Astyanax mexicanus: one gene and its partners. The protein of the gene in region 1 purifies or fractionates together with the protein of each later gene. This does not show direct contact. Links are inferred from orthologs where the notes say so. Each region holds a gene or a part of one and is shown in the gene's direction. Other genes may lie near its edges.

Evidence for each region. Proteins that work in one complex are often made in the same cells at the same time.
Region 2: the proteins of si:ch211-140b10.6 (region 1) and polr3f purify together in Homo sapiens (affinity purification with mass spectrometry; 3 studies listed by BioGRID and IntAct, with this or other methods). This does not show direct contact. The link is inferred for Astyanax mexicanus from reciprocal best matches to the Homo sapiens genes POLR1D and POLR3F.
Region 3: the proteins of si:ch211-140b10.6 (region 1) and polr2h purify together in Homo sapiens (affinity purification with mass spectrometry; 4 studies listed by BioGRID and IntAct, with this or other methods). This does not show direct contact. The link is inferred for Astyanax mexicanus from reciprocal best matches to the Homo sapiens genes POLR1D and POLR2H.
Region 4: the proteins of si:ch211-140b10.6 (region 1) and polr3c purify together in Homo sapiens (affinity purification with mass spectrometry; 3 studies listed by BioGRID and IntAct, with this or other methods). This does not show direct contact. The link is inferred for Astyanax mexicanus from reciprocal best matches to the Homo sapiens genes POLR1D and POLR3C.

What each region holds. Positions count from the first base shown.
Region 1 is NC_064408.1:96,428,082-96,435,064, forward strand, and holds the start of si:ch211-140b10.6 (protein POLR1D-like), read left to right. Parts: upstream 1-3,982; 5' UTR 3,983-4,079; coding exon 4,080-4,111; intron 4,112-6,357; coding exon 6,358-6,432; intron 6,433-6,983.
Region 2 is NC_064430.1:23,772,263-23,779,924, reverse strand, and holds the start of polr3f (DNA-directed RNA polymerase III subunit RPC6), read left to right. Parts: upstream 1-4,644; 5' UTR 4,645-4,771; coding exon 4,772-4,827; intron 4,828-6,121; coding exon 6,122-6,239; intron 6,240-7,004; coding exon 7,005-7,072; intron 7,073-7,170; coding exon 7,171-7,238; intron 7,239-7,662. Other genes in the region: dzank1 (double zinc ribbon and ankyrin repeat-containing protein 1), read right to left, coding at 250-350, 713-764, 1,140-1,245, 1,916-2,069, 2,152-2,260. UniProt on the Homo sapiens protein: DNA-dependent RNA polymerase catalyzes the transcription of DNA into RNA using the four ribonucleoside triphosphates as substrates.
Region 3 is NC_064423.1:25,662,277-25,670,123, reverse strand, and holds the start of polr2h (DNA-directed RNA polymerases I, II, and III subunit RPABC3), read left to right. Parts: upstream 1-4,829; 5' UTR 4,830-5,013; intron 5,014-6,261; 5' UTR 6,262-6,299; coding exon 6,300-6,372; intron 6,373-6,540; coding exon 6,541-6,624; intron 6,625-7,356; coding exon 7,357-7,450; intron 7,451-7,654; coding exon 7,655-7,738; intron 7,739-7,847. Other genes in the region: lisH domain-containing protein ARMC9, read right to left, coding at 368-523, 1,283-1,453, 1,867-1,992, 2,276-2,350. UniProt on the Homo sapiens protein: DNA-dependent RNA polymerase catalyzes the transcription of DNA into RNA using the four ribonucleoside triphosphates as substrates.
Region 4 is NC_064413.1:35,652-43,517, forward strand, and holds the start of polr3c (DNA-directed RNA polymerase III subunit RPC3), read left to right. Parts: upstream 1-4,848; 5' UTR 4,849-5,008; intron 5,009-5,646; coding exon 5,647-5,793; intron 5,794-6,620; coding exon 6,621-6,885; intron 6,886-6,997; coding exon 6,998-7,204; intron 7,205-7,866. Other genes in the region: rnf115a (E3 ubiquitin-protein ligase RNF115), read right to left, coding at 712-770, 3,925-4,002. UniProt on the Homo sapiens protein: DNA-dependent RNA polymerase catalyzes the transcription of DNA into RNA using the four ribonucleoside triphosphates as substrates.

The sequences.
Region 1 (6,983 bases):
CAATTACAGTACATCCCCACAGCAATGCTCCAAAATATCGTAGAAAGTCGTCTTGCCTGGACAGTAAAGACACTTACTCCAATAAAAGTAGGATAAACTATGTTTTAATAATCTTGATTTAAGAAGCCACGATGCCCATACAGTTTATCGGCCTTAAAGGCTCAGTAGTGAACGAAACCGGTGATGGAGAGGATGAGGATAGTCATGTTACGACTTTTTGATAAATAAATACAAATAAATTTTTTATTTATTTTTTATTTTGATCATTCATTATTTTTGACATAGTGGGCAAAAACAATACAGGTAATATATATCCCACACTACCCTCCATGCTTCACATGTATCCATGGCGACCAACCTCCAGCATCTTCATGCGTCCCCAGCCAGCATCTTCATGCGTCCCCAACCATCCCATCATCCACTATCCCTCCACTCTCTCGTTCTGCACCTTTTAAACGACAGAGCCGCCGTCTGCTACGCTCGTGTCCCTCTGACTACCTGTCTCTGTCTCTTTATCTTTGCAGCTGGATGTGAATTATTCATGAGGACACAAGGCTCCTCTGTTCGAATAACAAAGCCCTGTCATCATCTCATCACACAAACACACACACACTGTATATCGCAAGTGCAGAGCACGGCCTTGAGCACGCTTCATCTCGGGCACATTGTTGTAAATGAAGAGCCACCAATGCACTTAACTCTCGTCCTATTTTAAACAGTGGACGGCACAGCGAGGGATTCCGTTACATAAGCGAACGGGAACATTAAATGGCCTTTGGGTGCCATCCAGGAGAAATTATCTGTACTCTTTTTGTCTCAGGCAGCACTTTCTTCTCGCAGGAGTGTATGGATGAGGCTGAGCAACAGTCACGGCTTCAAGGCCGCTCTGTTTTCACTGTGTCTCTTTGTTTGCCATCAACTCTGGACTATCAGGATAATGTATCTTCTTACACAGTACAGTATCACAACATGCCCTTGACTGATTAAAAGGAAATATCATCAGTCTTTCAAAATATCTGTATTATTACACTGTTATGAAGTGGTGACTTGATGAAGGGGCTCAATCATGGTGAATAAAACCCTATGTCTTAACACTTCTAAAACCTGCATTACAAAATATTATAACACAAAATCTTGAATGGGTTCAAATACATTGTTTTATACATCTGTAATAAGACTTTGGCCTAAAACCTATTTTTGTATATGTTCATCTTCATCTTGCTGCACTCAGAAGAAATTAACCAACAGGAATAAAATATGGTGGGTAGTCATGCCAGACTGCTGTCTTGGTGAAGACAACCAACAAATCCATGTAAGACACTGTGATTCACTGTCAGTCAGTGCCAAGGTCAATGGTTTACTGTCACGAGGCATACATCCAGAGGACCAGGTGTCATGGGCACCTAGTGTGGGGTGCAATTTCTTAAGATGCCAAATCACCTTTTGTCTTCATTACAGGCGTGTTAACAGTCCAGCGTTACTAGTATTAGTAAAATTCAGCAACCAGTGGTCCTGCTCTTTTCTGAAAGCACACTCTGGCACACTATATGTCCAACAGGACAATGCTCATACACACTGCTGCTGCTGTCTTAAGAGCTTGCCTTGAAGACACAGATACTATGCCATGGCCAGCCAGATTATCAGACTTCTCCCAGACTGAAAATGTATGGGACACTCCACCCAACCACCACAAAATCTGCAGGAACTGGGAGAGAATATTCATGCTGCATGAGATGGGTTATCGCATGCCACCATTAGGAACCTCTACAACTCCATGCAGAGAAGTCTGGCATGTTGTGATACACGTGGATAACAAACTAGTCTTGTATGTGTGTAGCCTAATTAATATGACAAATATTGACTGATATTGTTCATATCAGTCATTGCAACTTAACACTTCCTTCTGAGTGCAACTATTTTTATAACCACTTCTTTGATGATGAGGGTATGTACTGCTGTTTCACCATCATCATTCCATTAGGGATCTCATTTATATGAAACTCATTCACAAAAAAAAAACATTTGTATGTTCACTGGTGGCTTTAAATAGTGCAGAAATTTGTTATATTTGTGTTATAGACATAGTGACCCCATGGTGATCCAAGGCCATAAGTTACTATTAAAGATAGAGCATTTCAAACCACTCTGTATGACTTTGTTTACCTCTCAGTGATTCAATTATTCCCTTTCAGTTCAGGTTTCATTCTCTGAAGAGCATCGTTCATTGCCCTAAATCTACCCCAAAACCAGGTTGATCTAGGCAGAGAGCAGCAGTACGTAACATGCAGCCATTTCTGGAGAGTCGCCTAAAATGATGTGCAGATTGAAGGCTATTGTCTTAGTCAGCAGCAGAAACAGCATAATAAACCCTGACAGAATGATGACGCCTGACGTCACAAGCTCATTGGAGGCTGTGTGTTTGAGGGGGAATGGAGGATGTGTCACCAGTCACACACTCTCCATTCTCCCAAACACAGAGTCCATTCACTCAAGCACACAGCCTCACACACATTCCCCCTTAATGCAGAGGCAGCCTTTCCTCAATCACACAGTCTCTCCTAATGCAACATATTAGCTTCACTAACAAGCTCTGTCCTGGACATGCTAACCTGGTTAGCATCCATTTCATTTGCAATTTCATTCCATGTCCTTCACTCTACCAAACATAAAAAAACATATAGAGCATCCATCCTATAAACAAACAAAGCATGCATTCCCATATATACATAGCATCCATTCCCATAAACACACACAGACACACATACATAGCATGCATTCCCTTATACATGTAGCATCCACCCCCTAGCTTACCTATACAAAACACAGCATCCATCCCCATAAACACACAGCTTCATCAGCCAACCTACATACATCCCATTGGTCCCCCTAAAACAAAGCATGCACCCCCCTCTGAACAAAGCAGGCATCCCTATAAAAAAAACAAGGCACACACATGCTTTTTCAACCCGCATTCTCCACCAGTGCCCTAACACATATTATCAATACAGTCACTTAAATGCTCATAGCAATGCATCCCACCTCATCACCTAAACAAAAAGCATCCAGGAGCAGCAGCATCCCCCTAAACAAAAGCATCCCACTTACCCTAAACACACAGGCTGCACAGAGGCTGCATTCCTCAGCCACACACCTTCCTAATGCAATGTCTCATCTGAGAATGCTGCTGGCCAGCTTTATCCAGTTCAGACATGCTCTCAACTTCACCCTCATTCCCTTATACCACATCCTCGCATTAATGCACAGTTTTAACAGCACTGACAGCCTTTAAATCTACATTAGACATGCAGACATCCCACCCAGTTCACCCTCATTAATTACCCATTCAACCCCTAGCATCCATTCCCCCAAACACAACCTGCATTCTTCAATGCAACAGCCTCCATTCCTCCATCCTACATCATACCACCATACATCACCATACATCCTCCATTCTCACATCACAACCTCCATCCATCTATCCATCCCTCCATCCCTCCAATTAACCCTCAACAAAAGACAACAGTGTCCCTGTTCATCCTGCATCCTCCTACCTCTCTCCTCGTGCTCGTGCTCCAGTCACCTAGTAGTTCTCGGTCACATCCACCCCCAGCCCCCACGCTCAGCCGCCCCTTCGCCCCTCAGATCTCCCCCAGCAGGCTCCGTCCTTCTCGGCCATCAGTTGCGGCTCCTCTCCGCTGCTTCAGCTCACTCCAGCCTCTCTCTCCGGCTGTCGGTCTGACCAGCCAAATCGCGCCCTCTGCCCCGCCTGATCAAAACACGACCTACATGCTGGGTTTTGCCCTGTCACAGATCGTAATACGCATAATTACTATTTATTTCCCAAGTCTAGTCACACACATACACATTTCAGTCCAAAAATTAACTAATGTCATTGCTGTATTTAGAAACTGCACTACGATTCTCTACTATTTCAGCGCTCATTCGTTCAGGCACACAGCCGCTCAGCTATTGGTCCTAAATTGGGTCCTCACGGGTGAAAACAATTTGTAGTCTTTGTAGTCTCTAAGCAATAATAGAGGAATCGCTGTAACTGGAAGTTAAAATCGTCCGTCAGTGTGATGGATAAGGATACAGCCAGTGAGTTGGAGAGGTAGGTCGTTTAACAGACGATGTTAAGCTGTTTAAATGTGATTTAATCGGGGAAATGGGATTTTAATGCTGAGCGAAAGCAGTGTTAGCCTGTTAGCTTAACGTCTATTACTGCAGAACTGAACATGAAAACATTAACCTAGCTAGTTACCTGAATATTCAGGCTAATTCACTTACATCTGGTTTGATTACATGATTTAAATCGCATATTTTTGCAATAACGAAAACCTAATGGAGATGTTGGATCTCGAACTGATCTGTGTGGTGAATTTTAAGTGTAGCTAGTTAACGTTAACATAACGTAGGTTAGCTAACTAAGTTAATTAGCTTGCTTTGGCTTCATAACAGAGGTAAGTTAACTAGCTAAGCTACAAACTGATCACTTGACAGCAGGGCAGGGTTGCCAGGTCCAAGAAAAATATTCAGCCCAAACTCAGTCTAAAACCCGCCCTTCAGAAGCTTAAACTAGCCCAAAATATCTGTCTGTCACAGGATTGAAGCAAATGGCAAAACAACTATTAGTGTACGACTTAGTATTATGTTTATAAGGGGTTTATTATCCGTATTGCTATTTATCTTTAAGTCATTAATAATATTGTAACATTTATGATTTATTTGTTTTTTATAACAGTTTTATATCCCAGTTAAGAACATTTATCGGTAATAGTAACAAAATTAGCAAAAAATAAATAAAAATAGAACTGACTTTTATTTACTTATTTCTGTTCTTGCCCCCCCTGAACTCTCTTCTCTCCTCTATAACACTTTTTTCATTGCCAGTAACTGGTTAGCTACAAACTAGGGGTACACTGAATATTTTTTTGTTTGAAACTGTACAAAATGAAATATTTAGCTAAATATCAAACGTGTTTTAATTTGCAGGTATTCATTAATTTTACCACATTTTTAGCTATTGCATAATGCAATAGCTTAAAAGCATTTTTTCTATTGCAAATATTTTTTGTTTAAATTATGTGGTCTTATTTGGCTAAACACCCAAATAATTATTTTTTTCTCAATAATAATTTTGGTTGCAAAATATGCAACCTTTTTACATTCAAATACTGTATTTAATACACAGCACACACATTGACATTAAATATGATTGATGTGTTAAACAGTCAATGTTATTAGAAATGTAGATAGTTACTGCCTATTTAGAAAAAAAAAAGTAATTATGTGTGTAACATAGTGCAGCACAGTTGCGGTACACTAACAGTAGCAGATGAGAATTAGTGCCTGTTGCAGTTTGAAATAGCAAAGGCTTATTGTCCTAAAAACAGTTGTCTCCAAATGGTAAATTGGCAGTAGGGGAAAAGTATGAACATGTTCTTAGTATTTAATGTAACTTAATGTAAAAAGATTCTGTTCTGATAAATAAACAAAAAAATATATAAGTGTATAGAAATAAATGTTTTATTCAGCATTTTTTTGTACAATAATGCATATAATTGTGCAGTATATTCAGATAATATAATAAGAACATTATTTTAAAGTGGATTGGCACTATAAATATTCTATATGTACAGTTTAGTCTTACAGAAAACTGTTACCAACCTGGAGATCCTCTTTACAGCAGATATTGATTCCAAAACACATTCGATACACCAGACCCCTTTGTTGATCCTATTCAGTGATAACAAACACTGAAGGCAGCCTGTCCAAGCATTCTGAAAACATTAGAAGCTAAAGCTGGAGCAGAATAGGGCTGGACCTAAACTCTAAAGGGTTGATTACCACTGATTGGAGGAGGGTAGAGTAGCATAAACCCATACTTGAGTAGATGCATTAAACAGAATCAAAAGCAAAATACAACATTCTTACTGTATTAGCACAAAAATTATATTTTAATTGATAGAAATATTAATGGAAATTGAAATTAATTACGTCAAGTTTACCCAAAAAGTAAAAGTATTATCTAAAAAACACTCAGAGAAGGACAAATCAAAGCTGTGCTTGAGCACATGTAATTATTTAAATGTTATTAGTTACTCCTTTCCTCTGACACTGATACAGTGGGTGTGCTATGTGTGAGGAATGGACTGTGTTCTTGCCGCTGAGGCAGCAAGTTTCTCGGGCACCTGTTTTGTGAACTGCGGTCAAAGGGCAGCTGTGGACAGTTGGTGATGCCACTAAGAGGTGGTGACTCAGCTGCTGGACTGGGTCGCTGCAGGACACACACGTGCATTCATTTCCTGTTGTCTGTTTTATGGACACTGAAGAATTAATCCATTCTCCTCCTCACAGACGTGCAGTTGAAGAACTCCTGAAAGAGGCCAGTCGAGCCAAAGTACGGGCAGAGACCATGGGGCCAGCGGGGTGGTGAGTCATTGGTGTCTATAACCTGTTTTTATTAATTCTGATGGATTTTTTTTTTTTTCCATTAAATAGTATCATTTTACAAATGTTGAGCAACAGACAGGTAAAAAAATGAATGCAGAAGAAAAAGGAGCAAAATATACAAAAAATTGTGTGGATGCAGTCATCTTTACAGACAAAGATAGATAGGAGGAAGTGTCCGCATTCAATGCACACCTTGCAGAAAATCCAAAAAACATGTTTCAACAGTCGTGGGCTTAACATGGTAAATGTTAGCAGTGATACATTAAACTTTTTGTTTATTGAGTAAATAAACCAACCAAAATTGTTCCATGTGAAGTCCAGGTGTGATCCACTTTTATTGAATTGTCTTTTCAGCAGCAGTACATGAATTTCTATAGCTTTGTCTGAATAAAGCATAAAGCAGGGGTGGACAATATTTAATCGTATTCAGTTTTATTTAATACAACATTATCATCAATACACCCATACAGTGCAGTGTAAAGTTGTTAGGCTGCCTCTCAAGTGCAATGATAGAAATGGATAAAAGGGTA
Region 2 (7,662 bases), on another chromosome or scaffold:
AATTGACAATGTTGACTAATTTGAATAATTTGTAGGCTCAAAATTTTAGTGTCGACTAAAAGGTTAATTTATGTGTGTCAAGTTAATGTATTGTCTATGGCACAACCTGTGCGAGCGCCCTATGCAGCTGCCTACGGTGTCTGTGTAGGTACATTTCTGGGACGTGCGCAACAGGATACGTTTAGTTTTGATGATGAAGTATAAATTGGCTTTAATCAAAAAATAAAACATCGGCATCAGAACACTAACCTGTGTGTGTTTTGTGGGCTGGGACCCAGATGCTGAGTTTAATCGCTGGGAAAGAAACCGAGGGCCTTTTCGAACCCGACGGGATCCACTGAAAGAATTATCTAAAAATAATTTATAAAATAAAAAAATAAAAAATATTTATTAATATAATTAAATCATACATTTTTTTGTAAAAGTCCTGAGGAAGCAACTAGCTGGACCTCTACAATATTTAAGCTTTTTTACTTTTACTTTATTTCTCCTTTTTCTGTTTATATTTGTGATTTTAAAAACAACCAATAATTGAAAAAATAATGGATTAACTAAAGCTGCTGTTGTATTTACTTGTAGTTACGCTTAATTGGGAGTTTTTTAAGCCAACTAATATAATTATAAAACATATTAATAATTATTAACGTTTATGAAAGCTAATGGTTTAGCATAGGTGGCTAAACAAGCTGGATTTTTAAGCCCAAAAACATACCCAAGTGTTTTCCAGAGGCCTCTGCATCTCCATTCGGAGAGGAGGTATGATTCTGTTAAATATACATATTTAACTTAAATTAAACAAAATTATTAAACAACAAGACACAAGTCACATTTAGAAGCACAATAAACTTAAAACGTGAATAAGTGTCACTTTAACTACCCTGTTACACAACATTTTTGGCTAAATAATATAAAATAATAGTAAGGAAAGACATTATTTTTTAATAAACATTACAAATTCTCAATACGCTACACAGGATCAATCACAGGACTGTTTTTTTTTACTGATTTGTGTAGATTTAAATGTAAATGTGTTTTAACGTGTTTTAAGTTAATAGAATAATTATTTTCTTCTACAGCCCAAACTTCGACAGCTGGGATTCTGTAAAAAGTGTGAAAAAAATATATATAAATTAAAAAACCTGCTGGGTGGAGGAATCCAGCTGGTTTTCCTCGTAGTCCTGCAGCTCGGAGGGAATCTGCTCCACCACGAAGACTTTAGTAACAACAGCACTCTGCCGACCATCACTGCAGAGAAATACGAGAAGAACCTGTCTGTCAATCTGAAGCTTAACAATAATGCACATATACAATACAGCAAATACTGGTTACACCCAAAAGGTGCATAGTACTAAATACTTCCATACTAAACCGTACTAAAGAACATGTTGTAAGTTTCTTAGTGCTTTAAGAGTTTGGTTTCTGCTCGCCATAGATCCGATCAGCCAATCAGCTCTGCCTCCTGCCCCGCCTCTAAACCCATACATCACACAGTGCTCCTCCCAAACAGTTTAGTCCACCTTTAAAGCCCTATCCGCACGGCATTAGTTTCTCTTTTATGTTTTTTTTTATCCTCTGTGATTTTATTAAAGTGTAATTACAGTGCGCGGCAGTGGACAAATAGCTATTTTATTAAAGGCGAGGAGATGAAACTCAGAGATGTGCGTCCGGACGGGACAGAGAAAAACAGTAGATAATTCAGCCTGTAATTTTCTCAGAGGACGACTGAGAAAAACACGTACATGATCGTTCTGGACAGGTATAAAATCACAGAAGATAAAAACCCCCATAAAAGAGAAAATTACCCCAAAACCCCCTGAGAAACTGATCCCATCCAGATAGAGCTTAAAATCAATGGTTATCAAAAAATGCATCTTAATATGATTTTTGAGCATATTTGAGAGAGTTGGACCTCTACCTGGTGACGGCCAGCGCTCTCACAGACACTTTCCCGCTGGGTAGGTATATGGGTTCGCTGTAGGTCATGGTGCTGCTGCCTCTAACCTCCGGCCTCCTCAACACCTCCGGTTTACTCCCGTCCAGCGTGTAGAAAACACTCACATCAGGAGAGTCTGAAACCAGAGAAACCCTTTAATTATACAGTTCATACAGTAGCTCTGCATCAGTGCAGGAAAACAGTGAACTCATCCCCACCTGATTTAATCTCCACAGGTGTGCTGGTGTCTATCTCATGCTTGGCTTTACCAGGAGGCGGCACTCGGATGGGGATGATGAACGGAGCTGTGATGGAGCCTGCAGTCATTATCAGTCAGAGGGTGAAGCTGTTCAGAGGGACCAGCGCTCCAAATAATACGCTCTGATATTCTGTAATGAAGACAACAGCATCCATGAAGGATTAAAACATTTTTTTAAATGTACACAAAAACACTATATTTAAAAAATCTCCCGCAGAAGTGCAGGTAGGATATTTACATTGGTTAAATTACCAGTACCAGGTAACGTTATGGTCTAAAAAATATTTTAAAAATACTTATTGTTTAATAGTTTATTGTTTGCAATATTTTTATTGCAAATTTACTTTTTAAATTGCAATTTACAGTATTGTAACTTTCAAGCAGGTGGTTTAATGCACACAAGGAAAACGAAATGATTGTTAAAACACATTAAAACATAAAAAACATGGTTGGGCGCATGTGCAGTGCGCTTTATTATTATGGGTCCCAATAGTAGAGATGGGATGAAAAAAAAATCTCTATTGCAATATATTGAATCATTTACAATGCATTATTGATATATGGTGTAAAATATCACTATTTTTATAAAAACACAGGCTCTCTAAACCCCCTAAGATTTGCCCTCTGATTAGACGTAATGCTTCATCACTCCACAAGATAATTAAATGAAAATACAATTATATAATTAAATTTTATTTCTTTATAATACCTTATTGCATTAATAATATATGTTTAAATTAAAATAAATGAATAAAATGTGTGTTATATCAAGTCCAAAGTCAGTGCAGTTTTGTTTTCCCACAAAATCTTACAGCACTTCATATCTTACAGCTTCCCTCTGCTACTGATAACTTTTATGGAGATGCAGATTTCATTTTCTAGCAGGACTTGGCACACTGCCCACACTGCTAAAAGTACTAATTGGTCTTAATATATAATATTATAATTTTCTGAGATCCTAATTTTTGGGTTTTCATTGGCTGTAAGCAATAATCATTAACAACAATAAATACACACTTAAAATAGATGACTCTGTGTTTAATACATCTATATAATATATGAGTTTCACATTTTGAACTGAATTACTGGAATAAAGTTACTTTTCAATGATATTCTATTTTTTGAGATGCACTAGTATACTTTAAAATGTTTATACCTGTAGTGTAAAAGCTTTAAAAATGATAAATTCAATTTTTTTCTCAGTTGCTCCAAATAAACCATTAATTGTTGTCTCTCTCAGGAGCGCCCTCTAGTGTCTGATAAACCCGGAATCTCCTCTCTACAGATTCTCTACAGATATATAAGCCTCAGATCTGCAGTAAATTACAGATCCTGAGGGAATACAGGTGTTAATCCAGGTGCGGGTCTTTAGCAATGCTCAGCTCCTCACCTGTACCTGTGCTCCGGGTTCAGGCTGCAGATCTCCTGCATGTGTACCGTATCCACCGCTGCAACAACCATCAACTACACCGCACAGCAAAACGCGCTGCTATTGGTCCAGCGCGTAGCCCCTAGCAACCGTGTCAGCCAATGGCAAACGACCTTAGCTTATATGTCAGTCACAGAATAAAAAACATTTTTTTTCAAAGTGTATATTTGTTTATTATTCATTTAAAACAGTAAAAAAATACAATTTTTATACTTTTACAAATAAAAACATTATTATATTATATTATTTTTACGGTATTGTTCTTGAATGTTCATCCAACAGCAGATAGACTCTGAACAGTCTCTGTAACATCTCTATTCAGCTAGATAGATAGATAGTTGGTAATATATATATATATATTAAATATACATATATACATATACATATAACATACAGATATAAAACAAAAGTATTCTAAAAACATACGCATACATTACAAAAATATGATTGGGCGCATGCGCAGTGCGGTTAAGAAGCGTCCAGCTGGTTTTACAGTGCTTCTCGTGTTTATTTTTTGTTTTTGTTTTAAATAGAGACGACATGAACGAGAACTGCTTTTTTATTATTAAAAATAAACTGTAAATACGCTTTTATCTGAGCAGTTCATTTTTAAACAGGCTTTCCGTGAGACTCCTAAACCGAGCGGAACAGGCTGTGGGAGGGGGAAGGACCCGGTGTTTTGTCAAATTGTGTTACTTTGCCAAACCGTGCTTTAAATAAAGTATATTTAAACATAAAATACACAAAAAAACACTATATTTTTATCTCCCGCAGAAGTGTAGGTAGGATATTTATATAGGTTAAATTACTGTATCAGGTAACGTTATGGTCAAAAAAATATTTTTAAAAGACTTATTGTTTAATAGTTTATTATTTGCAATATTTTTTTATTGCAAATTTACTTTTTAAATTGCAATTTACAGTTTTGTAGCTGTCAAGCAGATTAAAAACACATTAAAACATAAAGAAAACGTTTAAAATATGGTTCAGCGCATGCGCAGTGCGGTTTAGAAGCACATATCGACGGGTAGTATTACTGGACAGTACACCTGCGGCACGCTGTTTCTGCTGTGTTTACAGTGCTGTAAATGTGGAGAGGATCTGGATGTTCTGCTGTATCTAGAACCCAGGTTCTGATCGGTCAGCAGTGATGGGGGATGTGAAGGTGAAGAAGGAGAATCCGGATCCGGTGGATATTGAGAACAGGTGAGTTTCAGTAGGCGAGATCAGCCCTGGGTTAAAGTCTGATCACTGAAACCTGCAGGTTCTCAGACTCTCCAGACTCTAAGAGAGCTGATCCAAGTGTATCAGTACATTTTAGAAATTTTTGAATAGTAAATAAAAACGCAAATAAAATAAAACATGTTTAAAAGTTAAAAAAAAGTTTTATTACATTGCATACAGTATAAACCAGAGATCCCAACTTTCATTGAAATCCAGGGAGTCTCCCAAATTTTATTATGGGTTCTCTGATGCCTGCAAAATATATTTACTATTCCACCGATTGTGTGCTATTTGCTGTTGTAACTCTTCCAAATAAAACTTTTATTATTTTTTTAAATCTTTTTTCAACTCTAAATCTAATATTACACATGTTTAACTATTCCAAACATGTACTGGTCAAACTCAGGCAGCTTTACTTCTTTTTTTTTTTTTTTTACAAGTTTCTAATCTGAAGATGGTTACAAAACTCACGTGTCATTTAAAAACATGTTTAAAAGTTTATAAGTCGACTAATTCCTTTAATTTTTCACTCAATAAAGTCTTTATTTTAAAGAAATGGCTATAGACTGCATGTTCAAATAATTAATATTTATCTAAAAAAAATACAAAAAAAATGACTCCTGTTCAAGACACTCCCTCCTGTTACTGGCACTCCCTCCTGTTACTGGCGCTCCCTCCTGTTACTGCCGCTCCCTCCTGTTACTGGAACTCACTTCTGTTAATGGAACTCAGTCCTGTTACTGGAACTCACTCCAGTTACTGGCAGAGACTACTGTTAATTAAGCATCGAATTAGCAAAAACATGAAAAATAGCTAAATGGCGTGTGGACACTGATCACATTCTAGTGATTTTCTCAAAATTTGTATTTTAAAAAATATAAACAAATAAGATCTAAGAACTAATTTAGGTAACAGGACTGAGTGTTAAAATTGGTCTTCTTAGTCATAGTTAGGGTATAATATAATAGAATAAAATTGGAATAGCTGTGGTTGACCCTCTGTGTTGGAGCATTGATCTCTACATTAATCAGAACAGGACCTGGTGAGGTCTAGTTATTTTAGATTCTACTTTGAATTATATAAACAATTTACATAATTACATAATTTTACGCATGTTTTTTTTTTTTCTGGGACCGATAACGTTTTTATTTGATAACTCTGTAGTGTGTCTTATCATAAAACAAGGGGTTCTAACCGGATCATTTATGATGTATAGAAAATTATAGAAAATTATAGAAAAAGCTTGATGATGTATATTAATTTGATTTGTGTTTAGGATTAAGGAGCTCTGTCAGCAGTTTCCTCATGGCATCACTGATCAGGTGATCCAGAATGACCTGCCTCATGTGGAGCCCCAGCAGCGGGCCATGGCCATCAACCGGCTGCTGTCTGTGGTGAGTGTTCAATACCTGCACAGGTACTAACAGACCTGGTGGAGGAAAATCAAGCCTTTATATATTTGCTGTTTATTTATATATTTGCTGTATATCTTTGCTGTCCAATGAAAAAAAAGTATCTCCATTTTTGTCGATTTTAATTTACTACATAATTTGAACAGACAAACTGTCCTTCACACTGTGCCAAAATTTCTTGATGAACAGACTAATAGAAACTCTTCAAAATGACCTGAAATAAACTCTTTTTACATTGACTTCCATTGAAAGTTTACAATGTTTTTTTCTCTCTCCTGTAAAGTTGCTGTTTTGGATGGAGATAAGTGTTTTTCATTGGACAGCGACGATATGCAGTAAAATAATATATATATAATATACAACCCTGAATCAGTAAAAGTTAGGACAGTATAAAAGATTTTAATAATTAATTAATTTTAATACATTTAAAATGATCAATTTAACAAATTATATAAGTTATGCCTAAAATCATGTTTTTAATTACACACACAGTGAGAGAGAGACAAATAGACCATCATAAATGACAGAAGGACGTTTAAAGGAGCTAACCACTAACCTAAAATGAGTTTTTGCAGGGTGGGATGTCACAGAATATTGTCATGATAAATCAGATTACATTTTTTAATCGAATGACACCACTAGTTTGAAGATTATATCATCATTATTTAAATATTTGTTTTAATCTGAATAAATATTAATATTTAATTGTTCACATTCTTAAAGTAAATTTTGCATTATGATCTGCAGGGCCAACTCGATCTTCTCAGAAACAGCAATGGCTTGTTGTACAGGCTGAAGGATGTCCAGTTGGCAAGGTAAAAGCCTTTAACTTATTATTAAAGAGTATTTATATAAAGATTTATATGCTTTTACAACATGTTTTGATGTTTAATGTGTTTTTATGTGTTTCCAGTAAAATGAAGGGCTCTGACAACCAAGAGAAGCTGGTTTACCAGATTATTGAGGATGCTGGGAATAAAGGTAAATAACCTGCTCCTAATTGTCATTGTCAGGGTTTTTGGGGGGCTACGTGGAATCAACACGGGGTCTGAATACATATCATTATGGTTTATTATGGTTTGAATCCTGGTTATGCAGCTTGCCACCAGCTGCCGGAGCCCCGAGTAAGCACAGTTGTCCTTGCTCTCTCTGGGTGGGTACAGTACAGTAGATGGCGCTCTCTCTTTCCCCATCAGCACTCCTAGGGTGATGTGGATCAGCACAAGGCTGCATCTGTGAGCTAATGTATCAGAACCGAGTCGCTGCGCTTTCCTCCGAGCATTAGTGCTGTGATGCTACTTGAGGCGGAGTCTGAATTCATATGTGTTGGAGGAGGCGTGTGCTAGTCTTCACCCTGCTGGTGTTGAAGCATCACTAGTAATAGGAGATATACAACTGAGTAGCA
Region 3 (7,847 bases), on another chromosome or scaffold:
AGGCAATGAATAACCTCTTTAACATTTAAGTAAATTCAACTTACTATAAATTAGGCTTACAGTGTTGAACTACTGCATACTGAACTAGAGAAAAGGTCAACAGGTCGATGGAAAAAAAAATGTTTGTGTGTTTGAATATATTTAGCATGATTTACAATCATACTGATAAAAACAAACTTTCCTCGTGGCTTTTCCACTACAGTACAGTAGTGTGTTTTGCATCAAAAGGGGTTTTCCAGAAAAAAGGAAGTTCCAAAAAAATGTGAGTGTGTGAGAACTGTCTGCGAGAACTGTCTGCCAGCAGATAGATTAAAGAGGATGATGAGAGGATGATAAGAGGTCTGTACTAGTAAGAAACTCTGGGCACCTGGAAGAGTTCCTGAAAGGACGGGTGAACTGCAGGATTGGGTACGAAGGGCAGAGCGTAAAAGGGCAGAAACTCTGTGGTCTGGCTCAGTGCTGCCCCCCGGGTCTCCAGGTAGTGCTTAAAGTGGCTAATCCGCTCATCAAAGTCAGCTTTATCCTGCAGACAAACGTCAAACAAAAGTACATCATATCAGAAATCTTCTCATGTTCATTTCGGCAAATAAATAAACTGATTTGTGCATGCGTAGACAAATTAATTATAACATGTAACAAATCAACAACATATTTGAAGATATAAGGTTATAATGGCTAGATGACAGAGCAGAGTACAGAGCATGTCCAAAACATTATGCAGGTCTTATGAAGTGGTACTTATATAAACTAGTCAGGAAAGACAACATAGAGAACCAGTGACAGGGTTATGGAAGCTCATGGCTCACTGATGTTCATGGACCTCCTACCTAATATCAAACAAGCCTTAAAGGGGGTACACAATTGGCCTGCACAATATTAGGCTGGTGGTTTTAATGTTGTGGCTGATCAGTGTGAATGTATGCTATATAGTAGGTAGTCACAGCTGAAAAATGTTTTATTGTGCAGTGGGGACACCTGCTGGCTAGAGAAGGCTAATATCATGATACCAAAGCTAGTAAATCCTGATCAGGATGGATTAGCTTAAACTGGACACATCATCCTTGCCTATAACACAGTTGAACCTGAGCCGGTGCCGCAGAGGCAGAAATGACCACAATAAAAGTGTTTTTTAAAGATTAGGAAAAGCAGGACGGGTATGTTTCACAATTTCAAAGTACCACATTTCAGATGTTAAAGAACAAAAAAATTGGTTTAGGTTTTAGTGCCTCTTTAATCCCTATCTGGAAAACCAAGCCTTAAATTTATTTTTAATTTTTCTCACCTGTCTTCCAACATTGTTCTTCAGTGGGTAGATTACAAAATGAATGTGTAGATAGAATTCCAGTTTCTGGACATTCGGATCACTGTCCCGAATATCCACAGGGACGTTTTCTGCCCACAGTTCAAAAAACACCTTCATATCACCATCATCGAATGAGCTGATCAGATCCTTCTGCAGACAAAACACATTTTAAGAAGTTAATTTATTGTATTTTACTGCAACAATGAAACTCTGTGTTACTAACAAAACGTGATCTGGTCATTATCAAGTCATAAGGATAGACAAATACTATCTAAAACTATACTGAAAACCCATATAGCTCTATGGTACATGTTTCTTTAATTCAGCACATTGATTGAACATTCATGTTAGAAGGCTAGAAAAAGTGACCACCAAACCCAGCAAATCCACCAAATGTTTAATTCAGCTCTAAATAACTTTTACGGAATTTCAAACCATTCCTCCCTGTAAATGTGTTTTAGATCATCAATATTTCATGGACATCTTGCTTTTCAAATGTACTGACATTTCACACTATGAAACACTCTCCCAGCACTCTAGCAATGTTTCAGAATTAGCCTTACCTGGATGATTAGGATTTTGGAGTCTACAGGAGGGCTGCTTGGTGTTTTTGGCACAGGTTTTCCTTTGCTCTTGCATTCCTTCTCAAAGATCTTCACCGTATCCTCAAACTCAGAGAACTTCAGGTACTGAAAATAATCAATTTTACATTGAGCATATGCTTTTGCTTATGAAATGGCTATGAAAATCATCAACATACAGAGCATGCAATCAGAATTCATATGTGTCAAGCTTAATATAAAAGAAATGTGAAGTCCAATGCTGCAAACTAAAGGGGTTATAGGGTCAAATAAATTTAAAAATGTGAATCAAATGCAGACATTTTAGTGTGGTAGCCCATCAAAAACCTCTGCATTGGTAAGTGACCATCCAGTCATCCATTTGAACAATCTAACATGCAGACAGACTGACCTCTTTTATCATTAAAAGGAGATCTGCTTCATTTGCCAGAATGTCCCCCATCTCTTGAGCCTTTCTGGAAGTCATGTATCCTCAACCTGCAAAAGAAGAGACAGTGATCAATCATTTAGCTCACTTATCAGTTAAATACATAACTGTCCTACTTCAACACACCATTGTATGAAGAGTATGCTGATAAACTGCATGAAACTATTTGGGAGATTTTTATTGTTTGGCAACTTTTTTCAGACTCTTGTTTATTGTTTTGATAACAAGCTGATTTTTTGAATCACCCATGCGTTATCAAGAGGGCCCTTACAAATGTGACATAGTTTTGCCCAAAATCAACAAATAGTAGTGCATTTCAAAAAAATAGAATCATTAAAAAGTTGCTTTATTTCAGTAATTCAGTTTGAAATGTGAACCTCATATATTATATAGATGTGATACACACACAGTGATCTGTTTATTTTACTGTTGATGATTATGGCTTACAGCCAATGAACACCCAAAAGTCAGTGTCAGTTTTGGCAGTGTGCCAGGTCCTGCTGAAAAATGAATCCGCATCTTTATAAAAGTTGTCAGCAGAGGGAAGAAGCATGAAGTGCTGTAATATTTTCTGGGAAAACAACTGCACTTTAGACTTGATGAAAAAAAAAAAAAATGGTTTCCAACACTAGCAGATGACATAGCTCCCCAAACCATCACTAATTGTGGAAACTTCACACTAGACCTCAAGCTGTTTGAACTGTGTGCCTCTCCACTCTTTCTACAGACTTTGGTCTCTTTATTTCCAAATGAAATGGGTTGGAGAGGACTTGGCACATGGATGGATGGATGGATGGATATTGTGTCTTTAGGAAAACTGATGTCAGCCACACAGAAAGTGCAAATACACAGTTATATAATAATTTAAATTTAGCAGTGCAAAAGATACGTAAACAGTAGATGAGTGAACTAGTGAATGAACTACTAGTGCAAAATAGGGTAGAACTATAAAAATATTATTATAGGCATTAGTAAGTCTAAAAGTGTGTCCATAGCTGAGTGTGTGTCCATAGCTGAGAGTGTGTCCATAGCTGAGAGTGTGTCCATAGCTGAGAGTGTGTCCATAGCTGAGGGTGTGGCCATGGTGTGGCCAGAGTTACCAGAATGAAAAGAAAAAAATACAAATTTCCTGAGACATCGATTTTCTTTTTCTGAAAGCCATAATCATCAAAAGTAAAAGACAAACGTTTAAAATAGACCACTCTGTGTGTAATACATTTCTATATAAGCTTAACATTTTGAACTGAACTACTGAAATAAAGTACATTTTCAATGATATTCTGATTTTCTAGGTGCACTAAAATACTAAGAACATAAAAAGGCACATGTATGTCTTTATTTCTTCACATATACATATTTTTATTTATGGTCCACTTCTATGACTCACTGTGTTGGAAGATTGTATATAAAAACAAAAGTGATAAATAAATACATAAAAATATAAGAATTTAATGAAATGGTGTAATAACCAAAATATGTTTTTTTGCCTGAGGATAACACTGCCATAGAGAGATAAACTGCTCTGTGTCTGCAAACGAGAGATATAAGCTGTATTACCTCAGCTTTTAAGGTTTAGGTTCTCCACTTTCTTGGAAATAGGAGGATAAACCCTTGCCTCCATGAATTTTTAACAACCACGTGGATACAATCCAAATGCAGCAAGATAAGATTAAAAGAGCATCCTCACATTTTAGGCACAGTTTGATGGTAAGTCTCGAAAATGTAGTCTTGCATTTTATTTTTCAGCATAAGAACAGAAAAAGAACCAAAACCAACAATACTAGCTTGTGTTAACTACCAAACTACAGCCATCGACATAAATACTAGTGAGTTTAAGTAACCCAGCTGGCCAGTTTAACCAGTTTAAACAGTTTAGCAGCGCCTTCTTAGATAGCTTATGTTGTTTTTGAAATAGATAACATGCTAGCAAATTAGTGTAATATAACGTTTAGAGCTCAGTAAAGCGTGTAACAAACTCCACACTCTGAAAGAAAGCATTAAAAGCATTAGCTGCACTGTTAGCTTAGCCCCTATGCTCATAGGTAAATAAACACCGCGCGGCACTCACCTCAGTCAAAAACACCCTTAAATGCAATAAAAATATCACTACTCATTTCTCAAAGTGAAAAATGTCCTTATATTATAAAACGGAAGGGTTAAAAAGCCAGAAAATGTTTGCGCAGGTCCGTAAAAGCAGCGAGTGGAGTTTAGCTTAGCCTAGCCTCACAGGCGCTGGTGCTGTTAGTCACTATAGTAACAGCTTTTGGGACGCTCTACACCTGGCAACACCATCCGGCAAGAGGATGTAAGTGTCGTGAGGATTTGTAGTTTTTGTCCGAGGTGATGTAGTCCAAGCCAGAGTTCGGAGACAGCATTATTATTATTGTTTTGTGTTAAATTACACAAAGATTAAATTTTATTGGAGCTGCAATAATAATAACGATAATAAGTAAATAAATAATAATTAAAAAATATATACAAATATTTAAAATGTATGTGTAAATAAAAAATGCTTTCGGCGCCACCGGAAGTACACGTGAAGCCGTAAAGAATCAACAGTAAGGCGCGTGTTCCGCTGGAGTTCAGTAATAAATGAATGAAACCTGTTATCAGAGGTTTAATTTAGTAGAAATTCACGCGGATTATCGCCGTGTCTGAACGCGTTTCAACATATTTGGTGACTAAAGCGCATCAGCTTAAAAGTAAGTGACTTTTAAAGACTATTTTTTTTTTACCTAAACCAAGCAGAACTGAAGGGAAATACCGGCGAAGCTAGCTTAGCTAGCTTGCTAGGGTGCTAACTAACGTGTTTAGAGGAACCAGTGTTTAGCTAACGTTACATTCATCCATAAACCAAGAGTCCCCGTGTGTTTCAGACTGAATCAAACAGCGTTAATTAACACATAAAACGAGTGGGTAAATATAACCTATGTAGTAATTTAAATAAAAGTCTGGGGTTAAGTTCATGTCCAGGGTTTTATATCTAGCTAGGTTTGTTAACCTGGGCAGCCAACTATCTGGCTATCTATTTACCTGTTTTCTTCTTTGGAGTTAGTGGTAAAGTGAACGACTTATAAAGAGTTTTTTTATCCATCCAAAACAAGCTGAACTACAGTAAAATGTTGGCTAAGCTAGGTTAGCTAGCTAAGATTCTAGCTAACTTGTTTAGAGTAACGTTACAGGAACCAGTGTTTACTTTTATCCATAAACCAAGAGCCTAAGTATTGATTTAGCCTGAATCAACAACCATTAATTGATATATGAATAAGACTAGGCAAATATAACCCATATAGTGATTTAATTGAAGGTCTGGGATTAAATGGCTAAATTCATGTCCATAGTTACATATCTAGTTAGGCTAGCTAACCACGGCAGCCAGCCAGCTAGCTACTAACATGTTTTCCTCTTTGGCGATAGTGTTAAAGTAAGTGACTTATAATAAGCAGTTTGTAGATATCGAAAAACAAGCAGAACTGCAGGGAAATGTTGGCTAAGCTAGGTTAGCTATCTAAGATTGTAGTTAATGTGTTTCCTAGTTACTTTTGTGTCCAAAATTTCCCCTCGGGGATCAATAAAGTATATAGCTATCTAGCTATCTATCTAGCTAGCTAGCTACAGTACATGACATGTTTACATTCATCCATAAACCAAGAGCCTGATTGTGTTTCAGACTGAAACAAATAATCAGTTAATAAATTAATAAGAGTGGGTAGATGTATAGGGGGCTGTATATGGTGGTTTAAATAAAGTGCTGGGGTTGAATGGTGAAGTTCCTTTCCGTGAAGTTTACTAGTTATATAGTTAGCTAACTATACTGAGCAGTCAACTGGCTAGCTTCCTGCTTTCTCGTTTACCTCTTTGTAGATGATCTTATGTGTCTTAAAGTTGGTTAGATGTTGATTTATATGTTAACTAACCAGTACAGCTGTGTGTGTGTTTTTTTTTATCAGAGTGAGCTTCCTGGGCAGATCAGCAGTGGTCTGTAGAGATGGCTGGAATTCTGTTTGAAGATATTTTTGATGTGAAAGATATCGACCCAGATGGGAAGAAGTTTGACAGAGGTGAGACCAACCTGCAGCAAATCCTAATTTTAACCCATTTATCGTTTGTTAGTGATGCTCCAGTATGGGAATTGTGACAAAACAAACAGTTCTTGTAGAAACTGTGAGTTAATCCATCTGGATCACAAACACACAGAGATAATGCTAATTTTATCTGTTCTCTTCCAGTGTCTCGGCTTCACTGTGAGAGTGAGTCTTTTAAAATGGACCTCATCCTGGATGTGAATACTCAGATCTATCCTGTTGATCTTGGTAAGGGAGACGTGTTGTTGTTGTGGCCCAAAATGTGACTAGATGTGTTGAATGACATTTTCATTTCCTAAATGGGCCACGTCAATTTGTGGTATTAAATTGCTATACATATCTAATGCATGGCAATGTGGCACTATATAAACATATAGACTGAAATTAATGTGACTTTTACAGCAATGTATAGGAAAAAGGACTGAGAGTAATGGCTGTGAGTAGATTAAAATAAAATGGAATGCAGCAGTGATTTAAGGGCTTAATTGGCAGATAAACTAGGTAACAGATCTAGTATCTGAACTTATGTTTGTAATAATATTGGAAGACCCAGGTAGCAGCCACACCGTGTTCCTAATGAATTGGCCAAACATGGCTGCAGAAAGCAGCTGCAGCGTAGAAGGAAAAAAAATCTAAATAAATTAAAATTTAACCGTCCTTTTTTTAGGAAGGCTCCAGTGAATTTTCAGCTATAAACCAACAGCCTGAACTATAGCTCCTGAAATACTGACTGGGATTAAAGTGAAACTTAACATGAAGCATTGCTCTGTGGTGCATGCGTGTCTCTTATAAAACGCAAACCGTTTAGACAGAGTCGGATATGGGTAACATAAATAAATAAATAAATAAATAATTAAATGAAAGTAGTGTGTGAACATTTACACACCTGTTCTGTGGGAGTAAAGGAACATGTTTAATAATCTTAAATAAGTTAAATAATATATTGTATCTTTATTTCAGGGGACAAATTCAGATTGGTAATAGCTAGCACACTGTACGAAGATGGCACTCCAGATGATGGAGAATACAACCCTCAAGACGACAGACCATCCAGGTAAAACCTGTTTACATATTAGTATCATTTTACTGTACATAACAATATATGGTATTTGTTTTATTAAATTAGTCTTCTGCAAAAAAAAAAAAAATAATAATAAGTTGGCAGAAAGAAATGTTTAATAAATGATTACCAATAAATGCATACTCTGTGCTGAAATGATTACTTTTTAAATGTTAAGTCTGTGTTCTTTTTCTCCAGGGCGGATCAGTTTGATTATGTGATGTATGGCAAAGTATATAAAATTGAAGGTGATGAGACTTCAACAGAAGCAGCTACACGACTGTAAGTGTCAAGTGTCATTATTGTCATCTTTCTGTTTCCTATAAAGTTACACATACTTAAGAATATATTTACAATCATACAAATGTTTGGCACCCCAAAATGCGACATA
Region 4 (7,866 bases), on another chromosome or scaffold:
ATCAAGATTTCAAACTGTGGAACACGTAGCACTGATTTTCCTTTTAGATGCTTTTAGTCCTTAATTGTAATTGTTTTTAGTGTTTAACCTTTTAGAGACAGTAGGTAAACACAGACTAGAGTACTAGAATTAATCAGGATTTTACAGCTGAAAAATCCAACCTGGGGTTGAAGGATGCCATGTAGACACTGTAGTTTAGTATATCGTGTCACAGTCTGTTACATTACACCAGATTAAACCATATCATACTGAAGGCCTTTAGATATAGCTCTCTTTATATAAAATTACTTTAGAAATATTCTAAATATTGTGTCCAAAATATTAATTAGCAAAAATGTACAATTAAAGACTTAATTTAACACTGCATTTACTTTTAGCACAGTAACTGTAAATAAATGTGTCTGTGATGATGGTTTTTTGCTGCAGTACTGAATGAAGTTGTTTAAACTGATCTGCAGTGAAACTGTGGGCTCTGTTTTTTAGATAACTCCAGCTTCTGCTGAGTCTAATGAAAAAACAGACTGTGATTGTGGGAAACTGATGATGCAAAACTGCAGCAGAGGGTCAGTTAATATCTGTCCAGGGGCCACATTTGGCCCCAGGGCTGGACTTCAGGCCTTTTTTTACTGCAGGCTGAGGAAGAAACCGGTCCTGCTGGAGTTTCAGCATACCATCAGAGTGAGCGACAGAAAACCAGATTAATCATCTCACCTGGAATCTTCCGTCACCTCCTCGATAAACCCAGAGTCACAACGCGGGCAGATATACTCCTAAACACACAAACAAACAGACATTAGCATTCTCCAAAACTCCGGCAGCAGAAACGCCACGTAAATAACTAAAACTCACCAATTAAAACTAGCTTTATCTTTAATATTTCTCTCTCTATTATTGTAATTAACCAGCAATAAAATACCCATATCTAAGACATTTGTATTTAGTTTGATACTTCTGATACTAAAAGCTTCCTCGAATGAACATCAGTTAATAACAGATGTTGAAAATACTGTATATTACAACACTAGACCAGTTTATTACAGCTGCCTCTTTTACTCACTCTAAACATTTAACTACTATAAACATTAAACTATTATTATGTTTATACGGTAACACATATATATTACGTTTATACGGTTATTTCAAGAGATTCTACACTACTTAAAATAACTACACTCTAATACATTTTTACATTAAAAGCTGAAATGTGTTGCTCTGTAATAATAAAATATACCGGCCAAACATAAAAGAATTTAAAACGAGACACAAATGAAAAACTAATATTAGACCAAATTTTGATTAAAAGTTTACTTAGCAAATAAGAGCTGGCCTGAAGACTCTTATTATGAAGATCACAACAGTGGATTGATTAGCCACGATGACTAAAGGCTAACTGGTGATGCGAACTATATTTCCGATCTAAATTAACCTCTGTTTAATAAGAGTGATGTCGCTGTGCTGTTAGATTAGTAGATCCTGTTGTTTGATTTGATGTGGATTAAATCTGTACAATTTTCTATCTTTCGTTTTTATTATCAGAACTCATGTAGTTTCACTTCTAGTGAACCTTTTATACAGTTACACTATATAAATATCATTTATTTAGTTGCAGTTGTAAATGCTGAAAACTGAAGCTGAATATGTTTTGCCACATTACTAAAAATATAGTTATCATAAATATACCCTGAAACACTGTGATATTATTTTAGGGCCATATTGCCTCCCTGGTGAATATAATATATTATTGTGTTTTTTGTAACAGTTTTGAGCACATTTTGGAATTATGAATAATAAACAGTACGGTAACTGTGGTGAGACACCATGTCTAATAGTGTTTTACACCTGTAGTTGGTTTCTCTGCTCTAAACCTGCTCTAAAGTTTGTTTACTGGGAGAGTTTCTCCCTCGGTTTGGTTTGTTTTCACACAGGTACAAACCTAAATGCAGCAAAGCGCTTCCCAACCAACCACGCAAGCACATTCTCCTCTAATTGGCCAGAGCTGTCTTAGCAAGAAGGTAAATATAGCTAGAAGGTTCTGTGTTCCAGACCACTGTGTTTAGCTGCTCAGTGTGAAGCTGATTTAACACTAAATGCTGGAAATTTGCTAGTTTTTTTAAATGAGATGTTTGTGCAGTAAACACAGTTGCATGGCCGTGAGCATTGAACGCTGCATACACAGCGTTCAATGTCAAACAGCTTGGCATACAGCAGCAGCAAAGATTAGTATTAGTTAATAGCTGTAGTAATTATCTGGGTAATAAATCAGATTAAACTGCACCTGAACCGCAGTTTAGCTCAAACATAAGGAGTATATCTGAATATCGGGTCAGATCACCTTCTCACCAAAAACAGAACCACACCGGAGTTGGTTTAGAGCAGGACAGAGACACCTGCTCTCACGGGTTCACACCAGCCATAAACTGCAACAAGAGTCCAAACCAACCGGAGTCCGTTTTAACTGGACCGAGCAGCGCTGGAGAGAAAAGGCTTCTCAGAGCAGACTTATCAATCTGAGTGTCAAAATACTGCTATATAAAAAAAGTGTTAAAATAAATTTACCATACTTAGATTACAAAAACTTAGATTAATTTATATAAATTAAGGACACAGACTTGCTCGGACCACTGTTCATGTTCACCACTGATTTAACACTATCAGATACAGAACTGTGCTCACCAATATATCCACTGCTACTCTAAACAATACCATTTACTGCTCACATTACATTTTAGAAAAGCTCACAGTGTATAATCTGAGTGTTAAAAATTACTAACTATGACAACACTAAATCAAGCACTTCTGACACCAATCTTCATATGTAAACTATTCCTTACTTACACTGAGTTACTGCAAACAGAATCACATTCTCACACCCATAAAATAAAGACTTTGAGCTAAATTAACTTTAAAACTAACTTTACACTGAACCTGCAAACTTCAGAAAAACAATCTGCTTCCTGTAATGATCATCAGTGACAGGTGTTTACATAATGTACATAAAAATATCAGAAATATGCTTAATATTCATAACATCTTTATTACAATATTTTGTACTGAGATATATGGTGATATGCCAAAAGTTAACCACGAAATACAACACAAACACAAAATACAACACACACGATTGGTCACATTTCAGAGGAATTCCCCTTTAAACTCTTTAATATTTAGTTTTATTTCACTTTCAGTTTGTTTATGGTTTCCAATCAGGATCAGCTGCTTTCTGTGCTACCAGCCCCACACACACACACACACACACACACTTACACAAACAGCTAATGCAGCTGATCCGGATTTCAGGAACTGAATTGTGATCAGTGTAAACTCGGAGAGCGGCAATGTTTTGAGGGTTCTGATAGCTGTGTGTTGTTACCACCACAACAAATCAATAAATTATTTCAACACATATTAAACCGCAATTTAATCCGCATTAAATCCCAAAAGTAAAACAGATCAGAACAGAGGAAGTTCTTTTATATCACTTTCAGTTTAACTGTGGCCTTCAAACTCGAAACCCCCCTAACCCAGATACTCTCTGAACTAACGTTACTGAACTACAGTACCAACTCACTCTCACACCGGATTATATAGCACACAACTATAAACCAGCGGCCAAATCTGGATCTCAGAATCCGAATTGAGATCACAGCAACAGTGGAAACACAGCCGCCGCTGCGAGCCTTAGACCGGGTTACAGCGGAAGGAGGTGAGTTTAACAGCTCGGAAAAGCCACACAAGTGAAACATAACTTAAACCGCTTTATAGTCCGCATTTAAACCCAGAAATAAAGCTGTAAATCCGGTTCTGGTTCAACCCAAAAACAACGGCGCTAACCCGAGCCGAGCTGCCCCAAGCAGGACAGCGGGCAGGCGGCGGCGGCGGCGGCACGAAGCGGGAGGAGAGCGGCGAGCGGACGGCGGTTCTTACCGGGAGTTTGGGGCTCACCTCGCCCTTACAGCAGTGACAGAAGAAGCGGTGCGGAGGAACCGCAGCAGCCTCCGCCATCTTACACACAGGGGGAAGAGGGCCCGAGCGCTGACGTCAGCGCCGGGGCGGGGCTAGGCCCGTGACGCCGTATGTGCCCGTTCGATTGAATTCAGCGAACCGACTCTTTTGATTCTTAGCTTTTTGATCGCGCGCCGTAACCCCCGTTTTCCTACAGGTCGCGCTGTGCTCCTGTTTACACAGATATTATAACTAATTTAATTTAAACTCCGAATTTCAGCTCTTATACGATGCAACCAAAACAACGTTTATTTAATGTTATTCAGGCCCAATCACTTAATTATTTACATTTCCCCAACCTCACTTACATTCAAATACACTTTACTCCTGATTGGGTATTCACATTTTCACATTCTCTTTTTAGAACTGTCTTCTAACGTATGCATATTTATATTATATTTCTATGTCACATCAATCACTTTCGTAATCAATGTCATTGCACATTGCACTTTACTCTGTTAATTATTTAATTAGCATTAGCAACATCTGCACTGCTCCGTTTAGAGATAGATCCTTACCTTGTATAGTTAGGTTTTTATAGCCTTATATATTTTCTGTTCTTCTGTGTTTTGATTTGTCTGAGGATGTTTCTTATTGTATTGTGTTGTTGCTGCTGGATGCCTAAATTTCCTTCGGGATAAATAAAGTATCTATCTATCTATCTATCTATCTATCTATCTATCTATCTAGATATTCTTCTTTTTATTATTATTATTATTATTATTATTATTATTATTATTATTATTATAAACAGCAATAACAATAATACTAGCGATAGTTATTGTTTGTGCGGATTTTTGAAACTGCACAGAATCGGCTGGTGATGGATTTGAATCAGTGAATCAGTGAATCGGTTCTGTAAGCGCGTGTGAGGTGTGTGTAGTAGCCGGTGTGTGTGAGAGGGTTTATAGATTAATCCAGTATTAAATTCTGTAATAATTCAGTTCCTGCCCGGTTTATTAAAGCGGTGCGGAGCAGCACTGCAGTGCAGACCGGAGACCCAAAGGTTAGTACGGCTCTTTATTTACTGGGGAGGCGGAGGGATACTTACCTACAGCCCGAAAGCCGCAGCAGCGCTACCCGGCTAAATCCGCCAAATCCGCCACCTAACTCAATAACTCAACCAACTAACTCAACTAACTCAGCTAACAACTAACTCAGTATCTCAACTAACTCAGCTAACAACTAACTCAGTATCTCAACTAACTCAGCTAACAGCTAACTCAATAATTAAACTAACGCTAACTAACTAATGTAACAGCTAACTCAGTAACTCAACTAACGCTAACTAACTCGGCTAACAGCTAACTCAGTAACTCAACTAACGTTAACTTACTCAGCTAACAGCTAACTTAGTAACTCAACGAACGTTAACTTACTCAGCTAACAGCTAACTTAGTACCTCAACTAACGCTAAATTACTTAGCTAATAGCTAATTTAATAACTAACGCTAACTAACTCAGCTAATAGCAAACTCAATAACTAAACCTACGCTAACAAACTCAGTTAACAGCTAGCTCAATAACTCAACTAATGCTACCTAACTCAGCTAACAGCTAACGTTAACTTAGTAACTTAAAATTGTGTGATTTTAGTGTGTTTATGTGATGTGTGTAAGTGTGTGTGTGTGTGTGTGTGTTTAGATGACGGCGCAGGAGGTGCGGTTGTGTGGGCTGCTGCTGCAGGAGCATTTTGGGGAGGTGGTGGAGAAGATGGGGACGGAGCTCCTGAGGAGTGGAGCTCTAAACCTGAGAGCTTTAGCCCATCAGACCAGCACCCCACTCGACCTGGTACTGTACTCTACTATACTCTACTATACTCTACTGTAATGAGAAATATTTTAGTGGGTGTGGTTTGTACACTACAGGACTAAATAATTACACAGATGATGAATTATACAATCTTTCACCAGGAGGAAAACATGGTGACTTATTATTACAGTACCCTCCCCCTGACCAATCACAGCTTTATTACAGAACATGCTAAGCTAAAGGTTTTTTTTTATTTTTTATATAACTTTATTTATAGGTTTTCACTTTTCACAATTTTACAAACAACAACCCAGATCCCACCCACCCAAGGGTACACAGAACACAAACAATACAAAATTAATAATTAAATGAATGATAATAATACCAAAATAGTAACATTAACAACAAAACACAATAATGGTAAAAACAGTGACAGTGATACCAAAACAAAAACAAAAAGGTCTGCTGCCTTGAGGAACACCTTAACATTTAAGCACATTGTATGGATTTATTTCTGAGTGTCATTTTATAATAAGTGCATGCTAAGCTAAAGTTAATCGACTGGACGTAAATTGTTATACTCCAGAACATGTTGTGCGGTGATGGTGTTTGTGCCGGTCTAAATTCAGATTTTTAGCAAAATGAGCCTAGCGTCTCCTGCTATTAACTAAATAAGCACAGCTCAGAGAGCAGAACTGTGTTGGCTGAAGAATTGTATCTGGGGTTTGAGATGATGGCTGTGTGATTTTGCTCCTGTAAGAACTGTAATAACTTATTATTCACTAAGCTCTGGCTCAGATAACCTTATAGCTCCAGTTAATTGTCTGTAGATTTTTGGTTGAACTTTCCCTTTAATGATCTCCTAGGTGAAGAAGTCTCTGTGTGTGCTGGTCCAGCATGGGATGTGTGTGTTTGGACCGGGCCGCCGGGGTCCCGGGGGTCCGGTGGAGTACACGGCTAACTGTGAGCGTATTCTCTACATGCTGCGCTACCCACGATACATCTACACCGCCAAGAGCCTGTACGGAGACACTGGCGAGCTGGTGATCGAGGAGATTCTCCAGAGGGGTCAGATGACCATGAGCTGCACCGTGAGGACCGTCGCCGACCGGCTGACCCACAGCATGGAGGGTAAGTGTGCGGATGTAGGAGTTTCCAATAAAGTGGCCAGAGAGTGGAAGCACAGGGTAGTGGTTTCTTATAATAAAATTAAACAGTGATACAATTCTGTGTGTGTGTGTAGATGGTCAGAGTATGGAATACAGTGAGGTCATCACTGCGTTTACCCGGTTGGTGGAGACCCATTTCCTGCAGCGCTGCCCTCCAGTGGACAGTATGGGAACAGCTGGAAAAGCATCTTCAGGATCATCGGACGCTTCCGCTGTTCCCCAGCCTGCTCGGCCCGAGACTCACCCAGACTGCTATCTAATACCACAGGTCCACCTCACCGGTCAGTATCTAGAACCTGGTTCCTAAAATTGCTCTTAGTCTATACAAAACCTTTGGCTTTACTAATGATGCCGGGGTGCAGCGTGCTGGATTCACTGCCTCCAATTTTGAAAAGGTTGGGGCAGTTTTGGAAAATATAGATTTTAATAAACCACAGTGTTTCTTCCATTTACTTTCTTTTATTTGTCACAATCACTGGCCTGTTGTGTAATGTAATATAAGGCTTGTGTTGTGCACAGTAAATTTGTAAGTGGTGTTAGTAAATTTAGTAATTCTGTATTGTAGAGTTTGTTGGTGATTAAGTTGTGTAAAGTCATCTCTTGTGGTTTTATTGTTTTTTGTTAAATGACGGTTTTTGATCCAGTGCTGTTTCCACACGGTCCGGACTTTTTCTGATTTGGGGATGTAGATTACAGTTCAGTTGCCTGTCAGCCACCTCTCTCTCTCTCTTTCTCTCTCTTTCTCTCTCTCACTTGCTCTCTCTCTCTTTCACTCTCTCACTCACTTTCACTCTCTCTTTGTGTACTAAACAATTAATCTCAATAAGATGTTTCCTCAGATTTCAGTTGTTACAGTTTTGGGTCTCATAAATAGTTCTGGGGAAAAGATTGTTAAAGGACTTTATGCAACACTGAAGAGATTATTTAGGGGCAATTCTCTACT